2 linked regions of the Neodiprion lecontei genome follow. The protein of the gene in region 1 interacts with the protein of each later gene in a pairwise test. Links are inferred from orthologs where the notes say so. Each region holds a gene or a part of one and is shown on either strand. Other genes may lie near its edges.

What was found. The genes of interacting proteins can lie anywhere in the genome.
Region 2: the proteins of ralA-binding protein 1 (region 1) and AP-2 complex subunit mu interact in a two-hybrid assay, tested with the Drosophila melanogaster proteins (2 studies listed by BioGRID). The link is inferred for Neodiprion lecontei from reciprocal best matches to the Drosophila melanogaster genes Rlip and AP-2mu.

Annotation. Positions count from the first base shown.
Region 1 is NC_060265.1:31,646,756-31,655,019, forward strand, and holds the start of ralA-binding protein 1, read right to left. Parts: upstream 5,194-8,264; 5' UTR 5,075-5,193; exon of another isoform or gene 4,966-5,074; 5' UTR 4,760-4,965; coding exon 4,675-4,759; intron 4,295-4,674; coding exon 4,159-4,294; intron 2,795-4,158; coding exon 2,547-2,794; intron 2,456-2,546; coding exon 2,339-2,455; intron 1,952-2,338; coding exon 1,807-1,951; intron 1,705-1,806; coding exon 1,524-1,704; intron 1,459-1,523; coding exon 1,144-1,458; intron 929-1,143; coding exon 547-928; intron 443-546; coding exon 192-442; intron 1-191. UniProt on the Drosophila melanogaster protein: Participates in receptor endocytosis during interphase, is also involved in mitotic processes when endocytosis is switched off.
Region 2 is NC_060261.1:8,412,503-8,421,401, forward strand, and holds AP-2 complex subunit mu, read left to right. Parts: upstream 1-3,853; 5' UTR 3,854-3,993; exon of another isoform or gene 3,994-3,997; intron 3,998-4,604; exon of another isoform or gene 4,605-4,719; intron 4,720-4,821; 5' UTR 4,822-4,859; coding exon 4,860-5,199; intron 5,200-5,307; coding exon 5,308-5,558; intron 5,559-5,690; coding exon 5,691-5,947; intron 5,948-6,064; coding exon 6,065-6,545; 3' UTR 6,546-7,238; downstream 7,239-8,899. Other genes in the region: CTD nuclear envelope phosphatase 1 homolog, read left to right, coding at 1-88; peroxisomal membrane protein PEX14, read right to left, coding at 1,756-1,927, 2,035-2,270, 2,507-2,833, 3,054-3,101.

The sequences.
Region 1 (8,264 bases):
GCTTCGGAAGAACTACTTGTAGGCTACAAATTACGCAGTGGTATATTTCGTTGCAGAAGTGCTGCTTCAAAAATTTTCAAATGCGGCAACTTTGAATGCGAACCCTTGTATGAATTTTCTTGGCATTGACCAGAAATTAATGTTCTTGTATACTGTATTAAATAAAAGCGACTATGAAATGTAATTTTTACCTCCAGCATCTGATTTTCCAGAACAAGTTCAATTATTGCAACCCTATCGACTTCTTCGGGGGTACAGGGGACTGCTATGGGCTTACTTCTTTCAAAGTCCTTATTCGTCAAAAGTTCGGCCAATCGTTTTATTTCACCTCGCTCTTCGGCAATACGCGATCCTAGTGATTCCTGCATTGCTAATAATTCGCCATAGATCAGCCGTTCTCTCAGTTCCTCGTCACTATCGAGAGATATCTGTCGAGCTTTCACTTTAATAAAACAGGTATAAATCACATTTTCTAGTGTGCGATAAACGTCATTTGGAATTAATATTTTTAACAAATACACGTTTCAATCAAAATATTATACATACAAATTTGCAAAGTTTCCCCACTGTTTCGATTAACTACTTCGTCTGGTGTTAGTTCATTAGCTGATGCATCCAGTTTTTCTTGGATGCATTTAGTTTGCGAAACGTGTTTACTTGCAGGCAGCATACCTAATTTCTCATTCACTTCAGGTGTATCACATTGGTCGTTTGATTCGTCCATACTTTGAGAACAACTTTCTTTATGGGCTACAACAGCCATAGGCAATGGCTGATAATCAGCTTTGATGTAACTATTATCTTCCTCAGGAACGATCTTAGCTTTGTGCAAACTGATATCAAGATTACCCTCGTCGCCTAACTTCAAATCTTCTTCTAAACTTTTGTGCGTTGATCCCTCCAATTTTTGCACAGTTTTGTATTTTCTCTACAAGTGTAATAAGTCTACAATCTGTACTACTATTTTCAAACCTACAGGATGAGTGTCATTTCCAAAACAAACATTTCACAAACATTCCAAACTAAGAAATGAATATTAATTTACTTATACTCATTGGCTAGTTTGCTGATACTGAGATTTGATTAATATTCTTTTCCTTTCCGGAATCTGTATTTTTTTCGTGAAATTGCGAAACCTCTCACCTTGAGCTGCGTTATGAGACGCTGCACTTCCCACAATTGTTCCTCTCTCAATTTGGTTACAAATCCTGCGTTCATTTGCATATGAATTTGAGACAGCAATGATTCTTGTTTGGCCAACTCGGCAGCTATGGCATCCATAGTGTCTGGTAAGTTTGGACTACCAGAGGCCAATGGTGGAATATACTTGGATAATTCAACATTTGCAAATAATGCTTTGCAATGTAACAGCAATGCCAAGAGTAGTCGATGGCTCATTTGCAAAACTGGACTCAGTGTCATTGCAATAGACTGAGCATTCATTTTGGTAGTTTTTTCCTAAAATTTAATAAGAACCTTGTTTCATTGAGCATTACAAGGAATATTTACTCCTGAACACTCACATGTGCAGTGAGGTGATCTAAATGCAAGATCACCCATGCCAAAAGAGTCTTGTTACACTTGGGTAGTTGACTTATCAAATCAATTAGCTGCGTTTCTCTCAAAGCAACTTCTTTCAATGAAGCTGCCTGTTCAAATCGAGATACAACTTCGCCATTTTCAAGTATTGGTTCCGGCAACTCTCTGCAAGGTAGGAGACAGAAATCCTGATTACTCCACGTAATTACGTACCTGGTATATTTTCATTTTTATTGAACAATATTTCAGTCAGAATTTAATTACAACCTGAGAAATAGTATCAACAAACTTGTAGCCACCATGGGATCAAACTCTGACATATCTACTACTTCTCGTTGATTGTAAAGTTTTCGCAGATGTTGGACCTTGGATTTTACTGCTGAAACTTTGTATAGTCCATCCACAGTCATACCTGGAAGCGATAACGAGAAAATTTGCAGATACATGTAAGCGTTGCAGTGTCAGGCCATTTTGAAATTTCGACTGGAGAATACCAGAGTTGATCAGCTACAGATAATTTTTTTGTCGCTATAAACGGAGTGCTCGAGCGGACCTGAGCTATATGATGTTCTCTCCCTAATAGACAATAATAGACTTGAATAATTGAATAACATTTATATGTCACTCAAGTCGATGATTACACAGGAGACTTTTAAATGCCTCTTCTAGACCTTGATATTTTTATACTGCAAAAGCACTTCCACACAAATTGACCATCAAGATGAAGTACATGAGCCTGGCCGTCTAGCCAGTTGTCACTAAATATTCAAAGATATAATTATTGATGCTATTGACTTGCCATATTCTTCAATGTAATCAATGCAATTTCTTACAACCAATGGAAGCTCCACTCCGTCATGACAACGGCCTCTTTCCACAGCCATTTGAAGAGCAACGCCAAAGATTGGTTGTTCTTCTGAAACATGTTGATCAATAAAGATTGATTAATTTTTTATTGGTATATCACCCCAATCACAGGGCTTCAGTATTCTCTGCAGTTGTCTTACCACCAATATCAACAGTTTCTTCCCAATGTTTTCCTTTTTTGCGATCCTTCAACTTTTGTTTAGATTTCTCCTTATCTTTATCTTTACGTTTCTCTTTGTCCGTATCCTTGTCGTCTTTGTCTTTTTTTTTCCTCTCTCTCTCTTTATCTGTTTCCTTTTCCTTACCATCTTTTTCTCTGGATTTCTCTCGCTTTTCCTTCTTAGATGGGAACTTGAATGTTTTAGACTTTTTTGACTTCGATGGACTCCTAAGAAATGTATACATTAAGAAGTACAATGCGTACAATATGAAAAGATGGCCAAACACATTTATCTTTCGTTAGATATATATACATATAAATTCAAAAACGTTTGTGTAGGATGGGGATTTATAAGTCCCTTTTACATCTATTTTGTAAATATATCGCAAGTCAATAGATGCGATACGCAGAAGCCGTTAACTCATTTGTAATAGTCTCAACCATATAAGATACTAATTTCATATCTAAACCTACAAGAACTGTCTTGAGTGAGTGTGCATAGCTAAATAACATGTGGAAATGTTATTAGGTAAGAAATTAATTGCTTGTCTCTTGTACGTAGTAAATAAAAACTTTTATCACAAAATATAGGTTTGTTAAGTAAATTAGAGCAAGTATAATCAACAAAATTAAGTCACCGCAACTAGAAACAAAGCAGTTGATAGACATATTCGTTAAGCACTCTTATTTTTTTCAAGCAAAAACAGAGTAGCTGGGAATAGTATTTACGTAAAGAAAATATGAGGGCCATGCATCTCTGAGTGATGACAGAAGCTATTAATTTCAGAATCTCAGCCAATCGACAGGCAACAGCTAATGGGCTGCAAACGTAATTAGATCTACCATGCTAATGTTGATTAAGAATATGTAATAGTGAGCACCCTTACAAGGTTTAGCGTGATAGAAAAAATTCACTAAAAGCGATTATGAGGAATTACGGAAGATTTCAAGCAAAACAGAAATCAGTAATTGTAATAGTAGGTTGTGCACCAAAGAAGCAAAGTAGATCTTTTCACGCCAAGCACAAGTTTGCAATATGAGATGTAAGTGAGCATGTTTACGCAAGCCGAAGACAAATATTGCAAATACGTGAGTCAAAATATAATTTCCCTCCATGGTGCACATAATACTTTACGTAATAGAAGTGTGGCTCACAATTTTTATTTTTAACCAAGTACGAAAAAGAGCACTTTGAAATACTAGGATGTTTTTGTGTACTTTTACATACTTCGATGCTCTTTATTTATACTGTCGTAAAAGTGATTGCTTTACATCCGGAAAAGACGTAAAAAAAAGACGCGTAATCCATATTAGTATTATATAAGACACTTTTGTTGCCTTCAATACATCTTCGCAAATGTACATCATTCAGCGATTTGAATGATAATTATTGAAATTAATTCCGTGGACAAATATGTGTTGAATAGCAGGCAACAATTCAATAAACTGAGATATCTGATTGAGAAAGTATCATAATTAGAGATAACATCTGATAGATGTTGTCTTCTATTTTTTCCATGATATACTAAAAAAATGAATATAATTTCTGCATGAAAGGCATTATTACTATAAAGGCATAAGTATTACAATACTTAGTTTCGATGTCTTCTTCTGGGGAGCTTTCACCCTCTAGCGTAGCATATCCACGATCCTTTTTGTCTTTTTTGTCCTTACGTTTGCCAATGAGAAGTTCCTTCTTAGACGGCCTATCGTGTCCATCGTCACTAACTTTCCAACATAAATATTGTTTGAACTAGTGGTTTGTTTGATTTTTAAAACTATAAATTTCAAGTCGAATGTCAGACACTACAGGTGTCATTAAAAATGCTACGCTTCAATACTTAGAACTACACGCAAGTCTCGTGAACCTTGTGTAGCTCTACACAGAAGTTTGGCCTACATGTATATGTCCGTTACAAGTTATATAACTCGATGAAGATTTATTCAACTCTCGAGAAAATTGGGAGATTTATGCCGAAATAGGAACATAGTTTCCACAGGAGGAATGTAATACTATCGCGCGCGCGCGCGTGTGAATATGCGTGTGCGATTTCTGCAAGCAAAAAATGAGCCCGTGCTCCTAGGATGAAGAATCATTAATATCTTACAGTCGCTTTCATTGCTCTTTCTCCCGGATTCCGAAGCGTACAAGCCAGGAAAATCTTTTTCAACATCAGGGCTTTCGAAATCCATCTTTATACAATTATGACTTTTCTTGTAAACGTGTTGACTGTTTGAGAAATCTGCAACCTCCAGGCATGTCGCAATATTCGACAGTTCTTTGTTCCGTCTTTTCCTTCAAAATGATTGTAGGTTTTCACTTGTTTGACAGTAGCTTGACATTGATTGACGGATGCAACATAGTCAGTTTGGTCAGGTTTGGTCGGTGAACAGTGAATCTACAATGAAGACCGTTGGTCAGTCAACGTGAAGATGCAGTTCATACTCTACTAAAGGGCGCTGGCCTTATGGGAGATGGTGTGTCAGGAAAATTGGATGGCAAGTTACCGACTAGGGCCTCGTATAAAGGTCGGACAATTCCAATTTAGAGGCCCTATTTGGTAGTAGGTTTGTTCGTGCTAGCTACACTTTCTACACTTTCGTGGGGGTGTACACTTGCGCGTTCGTTTTAGCGGACGTGACGTCGGATGGCGCTGTTTGTTTTACAAATGTCACTAGACTTTCGTTACACTTTGGCCGTGTTCGAAAATTGACTGACACCACTGTCGGCAATCTTTTATCTCATTTGCGCTGCCGAGTTCATGGACAGCTCTGTCTCTTTCCTAGGGAATTTTTAGTACTGGCAGTCAATTTACGAACACGGCCTAGGTTTGTTCGTGCTAGCTATACTCTACACTCGCGAGTGTAAAAAGAACTAGGGTAGTGTACTAGGGATTGCTGAGGAGTGTGTAACGTCCGACCGGAACGTCCGTATGTTTTATCGATTATTATTACTGCATGTTACTTTTATCAACTAACCAAACTCTAAGTACGAGAATCTTGTAACCATAAGAAATTAAAACAACTGTCTAACTATTTGGAATACCCCTAGATGGAAATAACTATGAAATTCACTAGCCAAGGCTTACAAACCATGTTACGAGATCTTCGTACTACAGAGAACTATAATATTATTATACGTTATTATATATCACTATCACATTAACACTATAATTAACTAACACAATTATACCCAATTATTATATAGCACTCAGCAATGCCATTTGTGCATTCGGAGCTGAGAGCTATACTTAAGCAACATACGCTTTACTATATAGCCTGGAGTATAGAAGACTGTAAAACCATAGATAAATGCATAACCAATATAATGTAAAGATAGCACTGCTGCAATAACCCATAAAACCAGAGACTGCAAAACCATCAAACCGTGAATGCTAATTACCCAGCATGAACTATACCTTCTTCCGCAACGCCGTATTGTAGGCAACACGCGCAACGTTTTGAAGGCAATGCAGATCTCCAATGTGGAGCCATACAGAGCCTTACCTAGAGAATACATTAGGAAACTTACCGACGAAACGAAAACGTTCTAGAAGCTTCCAAGCCGATTTATATCAATATAAGAATTAACAACTACAGAAGGGAATCATATACAAAAGCACACATGTAAACCTGCTCTAAAGCTATGAATCATCAAATTACTAAGTACCCTAAATCTGTTAAGATAGTTATAACACAAACAACTAAAGATATTCGCAGCAGCGTGATTCTAATAATGCTAAACAAATAACAAACTATGTTCATAAACAATTGCTATTGTACTCCAGATTAACAACGACAGTAGTCGACTTTAATACATATGCAATTCTATATAGATACAACTATAAAACTAACAACGACAGTAGTCGACTATAATACATATACAATTCTATATAGATATAACTATAAAACTAACAAACGACAGGTAACCAAAATGAAATATGGGCTTTGTAACGAGCAAGATAGCAAAAACATTCAGAGGTAGACAGGTAGTTAAGTGGCTGACGGGCGCCACAAAGGGGCTGGCGCCACAAAGGGGGCTGGCGCCACAAAGGGGGCTGGCGACACAACGAAAAGCTCACGCAGTTCGGAGAACTACGGAACCAAGTCCACGCACCTACACCACCGCACCAAGCAGCGATATACCATACGTAAAAACCTACAATATAGTAATAGCTAAAGAAATAAGATCACAGGCGTGCATGCGGCGAAGATGTCGTGCCCTAATTAGAATTCCTAGAAAAGAGGGGAGGTGCGCAAAGGCGACCAAAAAACTAGAGAGGGGGATCGTTCTGCGCAACGATCGACCCCTATAAAAAGGGCGACCGATCACTCGATCGCTCTCTTGTGTTTCTACCTCCAGATTCGTCATCTAGTTCCGGTACAGTCTCGCGGTAAAATCCTTTAGCCTTTTGCATTAAAACTTTCATACAACGTTACTCTGCCCAAAAGTTCAGCGAGCTTCAACTCCATTTTTACTAAGTCTAAGATCTTACACTGTGTAACTCTGCGTTTGTGACTTTTAAATATCAAACTTATAAAATAAACCAAGTTAGTCAAAATATCCAAATATATTAAAGTCAGTTATTCCACTAAAACCTCTCACCAATCTACAAGTCATCGCATCCAGAATACTCTCAAAAAGGTAAGCCAAATTAAATCTTTTATCCAACAATTTCTCCCTCTTCGGTTCGTTCGACTAGAGCGACAGAATGCCCGTTGTCCGGTGTATTTCAATACTTAATCGGTAATTGGTGACCCAAACTACTGATGTGAGTCTGGCTGTAACTGTGTGTGAATGTTTCCGGTGTCTAACATCTGGAGATTTCCACTAGGTACCGTTCCGACGTCACATATCAAAAATTTTCTGGTGCATCGGCCGGGAAGACCAAACGTTATAATCGCGAAAAACTTTTTGTGACGCGAGTAGCGACCGACGGACGGCGGAATTTTTGCGCGCTACCAACACGAACTGAAAATCACCCTAATCTCGCTCGATTTAATAAAATGACTAAACGAACTCGAATTTGAATACCCGTTAACTCGCCAAAATCCTAAAAATCAATGAGTCAATCAAGAATTTTTCCATCCGCTCTGGAAATTTCCCATTCAAATATTACTTCAATATCGCAACTACTGGGATCTTGTATCGCCGAGATCCCTCGTTTTCATCGAAATACTCTGTCGAACCAGGATTTCAACCTTTAATCGAAACCTCTGACAAATACCCTTTGTTCTCATAACGAATGCTCCCAAAATCGAACGAAATAAACGGAGGAAAACGCGGAACCATAGCGAAGCTTTGGGAACAATATACTCAGCCGATTATATTAAGCGATCCGCACGAAATCCCGGACTCTGTAAAGGAGCCTTATCTCAATAAACCGCAGAATTCTAACCACACCATCAGAACTTCTGAAGATATTTGCTATTGCAAGGGAAATACAGAAGAACGAATAAAAGAAAGAAATAAGCTGTTCGAGCCCCCAACGCGACCCAGAACGATTAGCGAAGAAGACGCAAGGATTAGGAAAAAGGCGAAAATTATTTCTAAATACCTCCCGTTCAAACTTCCAACGATTCCTACCTCCTTTTCTCCGACACGGGATCTAAAATTCAAAATAAACCTTATTAACAAAAGATTGTGCAATCCCAACATTAAATGGGAAAGGAAGACCCTCCTGCCGATAAAAAACGC
Region 2 (8,899 bases), on another chromosome or scaffold:
TTTACTTCCAGTGTTGGATGCCTTACGGTTTACACAGGACGTCCGCTCTGTACTCTCTAGAAACTTACATTTACATCATACATGGTAGCATAGCCCCTGCCAGTAAAACCCATAGAATAGATTAGAGTTCAAACCGCTAACAGTCTAGTGTGTCTAGGGTAGAATTATTATTAATAATTAATAATAGGAACGTTTAAGCGCTACCCATGAAATAAGATGACAAAGTTTTGCCTTAGACTCTCTCCACTTTCTGTGCTTATCAGTAGCGCCGATAGAAAGTGCACACAGCAAGCTACTGTTAGCCATCACCTACGTCAGCACAATAACTTATGTAGGGTATCATTTTTTTTCTGCTTTTATGTCATATTCGCCTTTCACCTTTGACACGTGAAAAATGAAAACAAAATATCAGGGTCTGTAAATGCACGATAAACCGTAATTTCTATTAGCTTTTTATTTTATTATCGTCATCATTACTAATCCTCTTTTCAATTCCACTCAGCAAACTGATATTTTTAGTAAATATTTTACGCCATTCGACGTATGTAGCAGGCAATGATGATCCGAATAATTATTCAAGTAACCATACTGCAATAACGAATTCTATTAGCTGCCCTAGAATAACTAGGAAATGTGTACTAGAAGATATCTAGCTGTACGCTCACTGTATCAGTGAGGCAGCGGTATGCCGATTATACCTGAAGTGATTATGAAGAATCAGACAAACAGTAATAATAAACATTATGAAGCAACAGAAATATCTTTCTTTGTTATAATTTTTTATTCAACTCATTAGGGTCGCCGTTGATTAATTATCGAATCGTAATTCGCTCGAACGATCCATGTACACGTAATTTAAAATTAACAGGACAAACATTGTATGTGGCATGGAAAAGAATTGATGAGAACATAGCTCTATATTTTGCCCGCTTATCTTCTAATAACCCTAAACATCATTATTATTGCATGGTTTGTACATATTAGAGCGCAAAGTGTGTATGTTAGTAAGGATGGCCGTGCATCTGTCGATTTGCGAATGTCGCGTGCGGTTGTGGTATACGTGAGATAATATTATAGTGATATACATGAGCTATAAATATACATATATATATACACGTGTATATATATATATCTACGTGGATAATATATATAGATTTATGATTATTAATTATATATTATTATTAATAATAAATTCTTGATCATAGTGACAAAATAACTGGGTATTTAAATAAGTCATATACAAACGTGTGCCGAATCGTATGTCGGCTGTTTTTCTTGAATAAACAACAATGATTCGATCTGTTTTTATTCGTATATTTGGCAATTTATCGTATGACTGAATTGTATGAGTAATATACTAACAATAAACCTGCGTAACAATGAAACACTTTTCTTATATGTACAAAACAATGATCGTACCAACATCCATAATAATGCGTGTAAAAAAGTCTACCATAATTGTAAAAGAATTGATGTAATGAAACATTGTATTTGAGACTCAGCAGTTGCCTCCTGATTAACAATTTTCATTCAATTGTTGGGGAAATTGAGAAATTATCTAAACTTGTTCCTTATAGAAAAAAAGATATTGATCTGAGTTTCAACAGCTTATTGTAGTGATCCGTACTCGTTAGCATAACTTATATTGGCTGTCCTTGTATCGATCGAAATTTATACACATTAGGATAACCACATGATTGGCATGTACAGCAAATCTACAAATGAAATAAAATCACAAGTTCGGTTAAGGCTGAATCAATTTTTTGGAGGATCTTCTCTTATCATCTCCAAAGAACTATCGGAGTTGTTGGTGCTGCTACCACTCCCTGCATCATCTAGATCTTCTCTATCGCCTGTTTTCTCTCTTACTGTCGACGTTGCTAGCTGCCAAGTTGGAATGGATGCCGGTACACTCGGAAATTGTTTCCTATTGGTAAAGAAAATGTAATTCCGATATTATTCACAACTTACGAACAAAACAAATTCAGACAAAACTAAATCACTATTTACTCTGCAAAATAGACATTGCTGTACCTTGATAGCAGTAGACCCTTGAGACTGGCTAAGTCCTGTTTCAAGTCTTGAACGAGCTGTGGTATGCTAGGATCGATGGAGTGGTTTTCCGTCAGTTTACTGACGTCTATCTCTACCTTGGAAATGGAGTCTTTCATTTCTCTCAATGAGGTTTTAATAGTTTTGTCTAAGTCCGTTACGGATTCTTCCACAGTTTTGCGACTCTTGCGTCCAAATAAATAAGGCTCTATGAATTTCTAAAATACAATTGAAAGTCAATTAGGATAATTCTTTTAAATAGTATAATGGATCTTGTAACTCGAAGAAATGACAAGGTTAAATTGTTGCAGGTTCATTTAATTGAAACAGAATTACTACCATTTCCATTTGAGCCTTTTAGGTAGAACCTTGGCAATTTTTATATCTTCAATAGAATCTCGAAACTAACATAGTACATATAATATTCTATGCAGCATAAGGAGCGGAATCTCACCTTGTAGAACCAATATATACAATAAGTTGCAGTTCCAAACAGAGCAACGGTATTTAGAATTTCTTTGACTCTTTGAAATGTTGTTTGACGATACGATTGTAGTTGGTAATTTGGGTAGCTGTGACCATGATTCATAGGAACAACTGTGAACTCTTTTTGATTAGGAGTAAACGAAACTTCTGTGACAATTTGGTCCCCCCCCGCGATTTCACATGCTTTAATAATTTCGTTTTCCGAGAGACCTTTTCTTCGGAGAAATTCCTGTTTCTGTTTTAAAGGACTCGGAACTACCTTGGGATTTTGTAAAAATTTTACAGCAGTCCTGACCTAGATTGAGATGAAAGAGAGAAGCAGCTAGTAATTTAGTTGTTAAAAATTTGAAGAACAGCTATAAAGCGAAGTGTTGGTGAATTTATAAAGGTAATCGAGTGGTGCTTGTGTGTTTTCATTAATTGAATAAATGTGTCGTCATCATGCTTAATTAAATTGTTTCGAATGTGAAATAAAATCCCGGATATTCTAACCTAAAGTAGCGAAAAGTACTTACGAGCTCATCCCGCAAAGATACGCTATTATTACTTTCCTCAATGGCCATCGCGTCGATTATAACTCACTTTTGCTAGCCGATAAACGTAGCTTCATACTCATGTAACAGATTCTAATAAGTATGTATTACGGTAATTAGATGTGATTTTTCGTTCACTGCAAAATGAACACAACAGAAAAAGTGCAGTCTATTCCACGCAAGCGCACGATTTATACTATTATCCACTGATACATAATAGTATGGGTATACGGATACATCAAAAATTCTTTGGTCAGTATGAGATTAACACGGTCAAGGTTAAAAACAATCCCGAAAATACAAGAAACTATAAACAAATCGCTGACTCTTTCAAATAATGAAATTATGATCGGTAAAGGCAATCGGAAATACTCGGCAAGAGATAGTCTCTCTTCTATGCTTCTAGATCTCCCGATATTACGCGCACCTTATCAGTTGTGAAATATTTTCATTTCCTTTGTTTACCAATGTTTTCCAAGCTAAAAACAAATAAATGAGCAATGTCGTAGATAAAGACGTGTTGAGATATCTTGTTTTCTTTCAGCCCAATACACTTATAATAGTAATTCCCATATAGGTATATCGTATTCAACGTTGACTTCAATCAAATCTCAAGTAACAAGATCAAATTAACTACTGTATTATTGTTGACAAATAATTAAGAAAGAGAAATACGATTGGTTTGTTCCGTGCTATTTAATCGATTGAATTTACGTCAGGTTGACAACATGGTACACTCATCGATTCGATTCAACCTGTTGGATCATTGAGCCGGTATGCCTACACGGTATCATCCAGTGACGATCACTGACAACCGTAGTAGGAAAAAGTGGGTGTCGCTGCCGCATTCGCAGTTCTGTGTGCCCGCTGAACAGCTGCACTTCAGCGTAATTTCTACGATTTTCTTGAGTCGTCTGAATGCGTAAGTAAGAAAGTGTCCATTATAATTCATTGCTTTGTTATATGGTTGATTCTCAATTGTTTCCTCGGCTAACACAACTCTACATCTCATCGAAAAATTAATCTGTTCTGAATTAAGCATCGTCCACTTGTCAATCGATAATACTAACGGTCCGAAGAACGTTCGCCCGTAGAGATGGATCTTGGATGTGTTGCATGACGTTTTGAACCATCATTAGATTGTCGGACGCTCGGTGGGCGTTTATCGGGTCATCAAGCGTCATTTTTAACCAGTTTCTACGTTAAATAAAGTCTTGGTCGTTTCATGACTGATTAAAAATATTATTTATCACAGATCCGAACGAGCTGTACGCGAATTTTCGGTTCTCACTTCCAACAATTCATTGATCGGTTTCCGTTTTCACTTCTCTACAACTATCCGAGCTCTTTGAACAAGTGCTCAACACCGAACTGCTACAAGCAACAGCATTAAATGTTGACCACGGTGTCAACGAATATTCTGTGACAAATACATAGGATAATTTATCGAAATCACAAGTAGGCTGCTTGCCTTTAGACAATTGACTACCCTGAGTGTGAGAAAAATGGTAATCGACCAGTTTCGGCACTGTGAAAATACCAAGTGCATGTCTCTATTAGAATGCATCTCAATTACTACTTAATGACTTTGGAAGGTCAAGAACTAGAGGGCCAAAATTGTGATTGTATTTATTCAAACGAATGCAAAGTAGGCTATCTAATTAGTATATTAAGTGTTGAATCATCATAAATTGTTGAATTATAAATTTTTACGTAACTCTGCCCTGATTAGTTATATATGAATTTACAGGTGCGTAACCAAAAAAGTAATTCACAGCCTCCGTCAAGATGATCGGGGGACTGTTTGTCTACAACCATAAGGGAGAGGTGTTGATCTCTCGAGTATATCGTGACGATATTGGCAGAAATGCAGTCGATGCATTCAGGGTCAATGTTATTCACGCTCGGCAGCAAGTACGATCGCCAGTTACCAATATTGCCAGGACGTCGTTCTTCCATATTAAACGAGCCAATATCTGGCTGGCTGCTGTTACCAAGCAAAATGTCAACGCTGCTATGGTCTTTGAGTTTTTATTGAAAATCATCGAAGTCATGCAGTCGTATTTTGGCAAAATATCTGAGGAAAACATTAAGAACAACTTTGTCCTGATTTACGAACTGCTTGATGGTAAAAAAAATTGCCTATTCCATCGTATGAGTTTCATCTTAAAATCATGCACAAAATGGTATTTGGTCATAATCATTGATTATGACTATTTTTCTATCGATTCTTTAGAAATTCTGGATTTTGGTTACCCACAAAACTGTGACACTGGGGTACTGAAAACCTTCATCACTCAGCAAGGCGTCAAGTCCGCCACAAAAGAAGAACAGGCTCAGATTACTTCCCAAGTTACAGGTCAAATCGGATGGCGACGAGAAGGAATAAAATATAGGCGCAATGAACTTTTCCTTGATGTTCTTGAATACGTCAATTTATTGATGAGCCCCCAGGGCCAGGTTCTCAGCGCTCATGTGGCTGGCAAGGTTAGCAAACATTCTTACCATCTTTTTTCAGATGCCTAAGGATTTAAAAACCGTTTTGATGTTTGACATTATTAGCATTGATGGAACTATTCAAATATGTTATTAATTTTAAAAGTTTTCTCTCCCAAACAGGTAGTGATGAAGTCCTACTTGTCAGGAATGCCAGAGTGTAAGTTCGGGATTAATGATAAAATAGTGATGGATGCAAAAGGAGTGAAAGGAGGAGGTGGTAGTTTAGGTAGCACGGGTGATGACCCTGGAGCTAGATCTGGCAAGCCTGTGGTGGTTATCGATGATTGCCAGTTCCATCAATGTGTCAAACTTTCCAAGTTTGAGACAGAACATTCCATCAGTTTCATCCCACCGGATGGTGAATTCGAATTAATGAGGTAATTGATGGGTTCCAGTAACGGTTCTTTTGGTAGCATCCAAACAATGAGTAAATACATAAACATCGAGTGATTTGAAAACTTGAAAAATAATTATGTAAAATATTGTTGTACCAGATATCGGACCACAAAAGATATATCACTGCCATTCCGCGTTATACCATTGGTACGTGAAGTCGGCCGCACGAAGATGGAAGTAAAGGCTGTCCTCAAGTCAAGTTTCAAATCCTCTTTACTTGGCCAAAAGATCGAGGTCCGTGTTCCGACGCCATTGAATACAGCTGGCGTACAACTGATATGTTTAAAGGGAAAGGCAAAATATAAGGCATCGGAAAATGCAATTGTATGGAAGATAAAGCGAATGGCTGGCATGAAAGAGACGCAGTTGTCTGCTGAAATTGATCTGTTAGAAACTGATACGAAGAAGAAGTGGACACGACCACCAATTTCCATGAACTTTGAGGTTCCATTTGCCCCTTCTGGATTCAAAGTTCGTTACTTGAAAGTATTTGAATCTAAACTGAATTATTCTGATCATGATGTTATTAAATGGGTCAGATACATTGGACGAAGTGGCCTATATGAAACACGATGCTAATCACCAACTTGTCGATGATAAAATACAAAAAAGTAATCTCACCTTTGAAGTGTAATGAACATAAATGTAATAAGGCTATAGCTGCGTTTTACACTTGGGACTTGCGGTATATAAACAAACTAAAAAGTTGCTGGTATTTATTCTCGTAAGTTCAAAGTTCAAACGTCCCTTGTAAGTATGGAAAGATCCAAAAAATTAATGATTTTAATCCGATTACATTATAAGGCGTAATTAATTATAGCAATGTCGCAGTCTTTCGGGGTATTCTCTAAGAATTCGCACAAAAGAAAAGGACAAAACATTCCGCCTAAACAGCCCTTAAAAATGTCAATGCCACCGTTCTGATCAAAATACAATACTTTTCCTATAACTGCTTATTTCAATCAGGGAGCATTTTTATGCGAGGCATAATTTACCGTCAACGATTAAAATAATGCTCCAATATATCGTGAAAATGTATTTAAAATGTGAACGATTTCTCTAGAGATGTGCCCGGCTGGTCCATGGTCACTTGAAGGCGTATGTCAAATGTAGCTTCTGTCTCTCTATATTATATCGATATATTATAGGTATATACATGTATGTATATATGTATCACAAACCGCATGATTAAACGTTAGTGCAGTGTTTAAGTTGATTTTCAGTTATACCCGAAATTATAAGAAAAATAAAGCATAACATTCAATACTTGAACATTACTGGTTTTATTAAAAAATTGAGTACACGAAGCGTTGATAGATTGTAAAAAGTAGTTTGACCGTATATTGAAAGACGATCTCTGTCACTGGTGACTAATCGATAGTTGACATAAATTGGACGAAATTCTTCTAGTCTTTTTACACAGTTGCAACTATCTCATTTTATCACCAAACCTCACGTGTTCAACATTTCTTGTTTTCACAATATTTTCGTGTTTTTATAGTACATATACATTTCCAAATAAGATAATTTAGCAAGCATTCCATTCCTAATAAATACAGCTAATAAAATTCCCTCAGAAATTCGGTCTATGATTTTCTAATTTTTGAGCTGCAACAAAATCTACTCAATACAGAACTCTTTAAAGTGCACGAAAGAAAATAAGTATGTGCTTCAGAATGGAAATTAAACCCTTTTACAGTGATCTATTGAATAATTATACTGTGCGTACTATTTCTTTTATCACGAACACCTCTATCAAATGTGAGTTAGAAATAATAATATCATTTAATGTAAATGATATATGACTTCTTCAGTTTTACGTTTGACAATCAAACTTAGTCAATCAAAATATGAATAAAAGAATTCAATTCAGCTATTGATAATAACACATAATAAAGTACACTTGCATACTTATTTAATGATTCACAGTGATAGAGATTGGCTTTTGAATTGAAAAAAAATGACTTGTGTGCAACTCATTTGAAAGGTTTGTACCTTTGAGATCCTATACGAATTTAAATGGCAAATAAGCCATCTACTTTTCAGGCTGATATTCTCGTAAAACACTTCAACTACCAAGTAACTAAAATCCAGTGATTATTTTTGGATAATGCATATTACATTACGTAAACTATTATCACTTGCAAAATTTCGAGTGATTTTCACGATAAGAAATGTCACACTAGAAGTCGATTGAATCCGTTATGTTACAGTTATTGAAACTGACTAAATGCGTAGCTAGATTTTATGTGAATACAATGATTTAAAGTACAAGTTAACGTACCTGCTAACGTTTCAACGAACATGTCGTTATCATAGCAGTGAAACATTTTATTGGAATGCAGGCTTAAAATGATTTCGGTTAGAACGCTTGAAATGAAATCTATATGAATCGTTATAGTTAGTGACTAATCTGTCTGAATGAGAGATTATGATGAATTAGTAACTGATAGTAGCAGTTTATATACAAAAGTTTATAAATAGATATACATATACATTAATTGTAAGCACACGTCTCGTTACTTATTATAATTTTTCTACATTAATTAATTTTATTTCAATCTTTTATCTGGTTGGCACTTTCCGTAAACTGAGTACATTAGATTACTGCTGTGATTTTTTGACCAGTTCAGTTATCCAATTCTGAATAAACAGAGCCACGCTAAAAATAAACCAAATATTCACTATGCCGAGATATATATTCATTGCAATTTTCAGTATATGCTCATTTAGAAGGCCACAAATGTTAGTACAGCAAATTGATTTTTCGATTAGAATTTTTGTAATTTTGAAAAGTTGATTTCAAAGTGTTTTATAAAAATACAGTCCTTCCGGGGCAAAGGAAACATTTTCGAAAAATAACTATCATTTGTCGAAACTATTCCTTTCCATAAAAACCATGATATAGTATTGTATATGTTCATGACATTTTG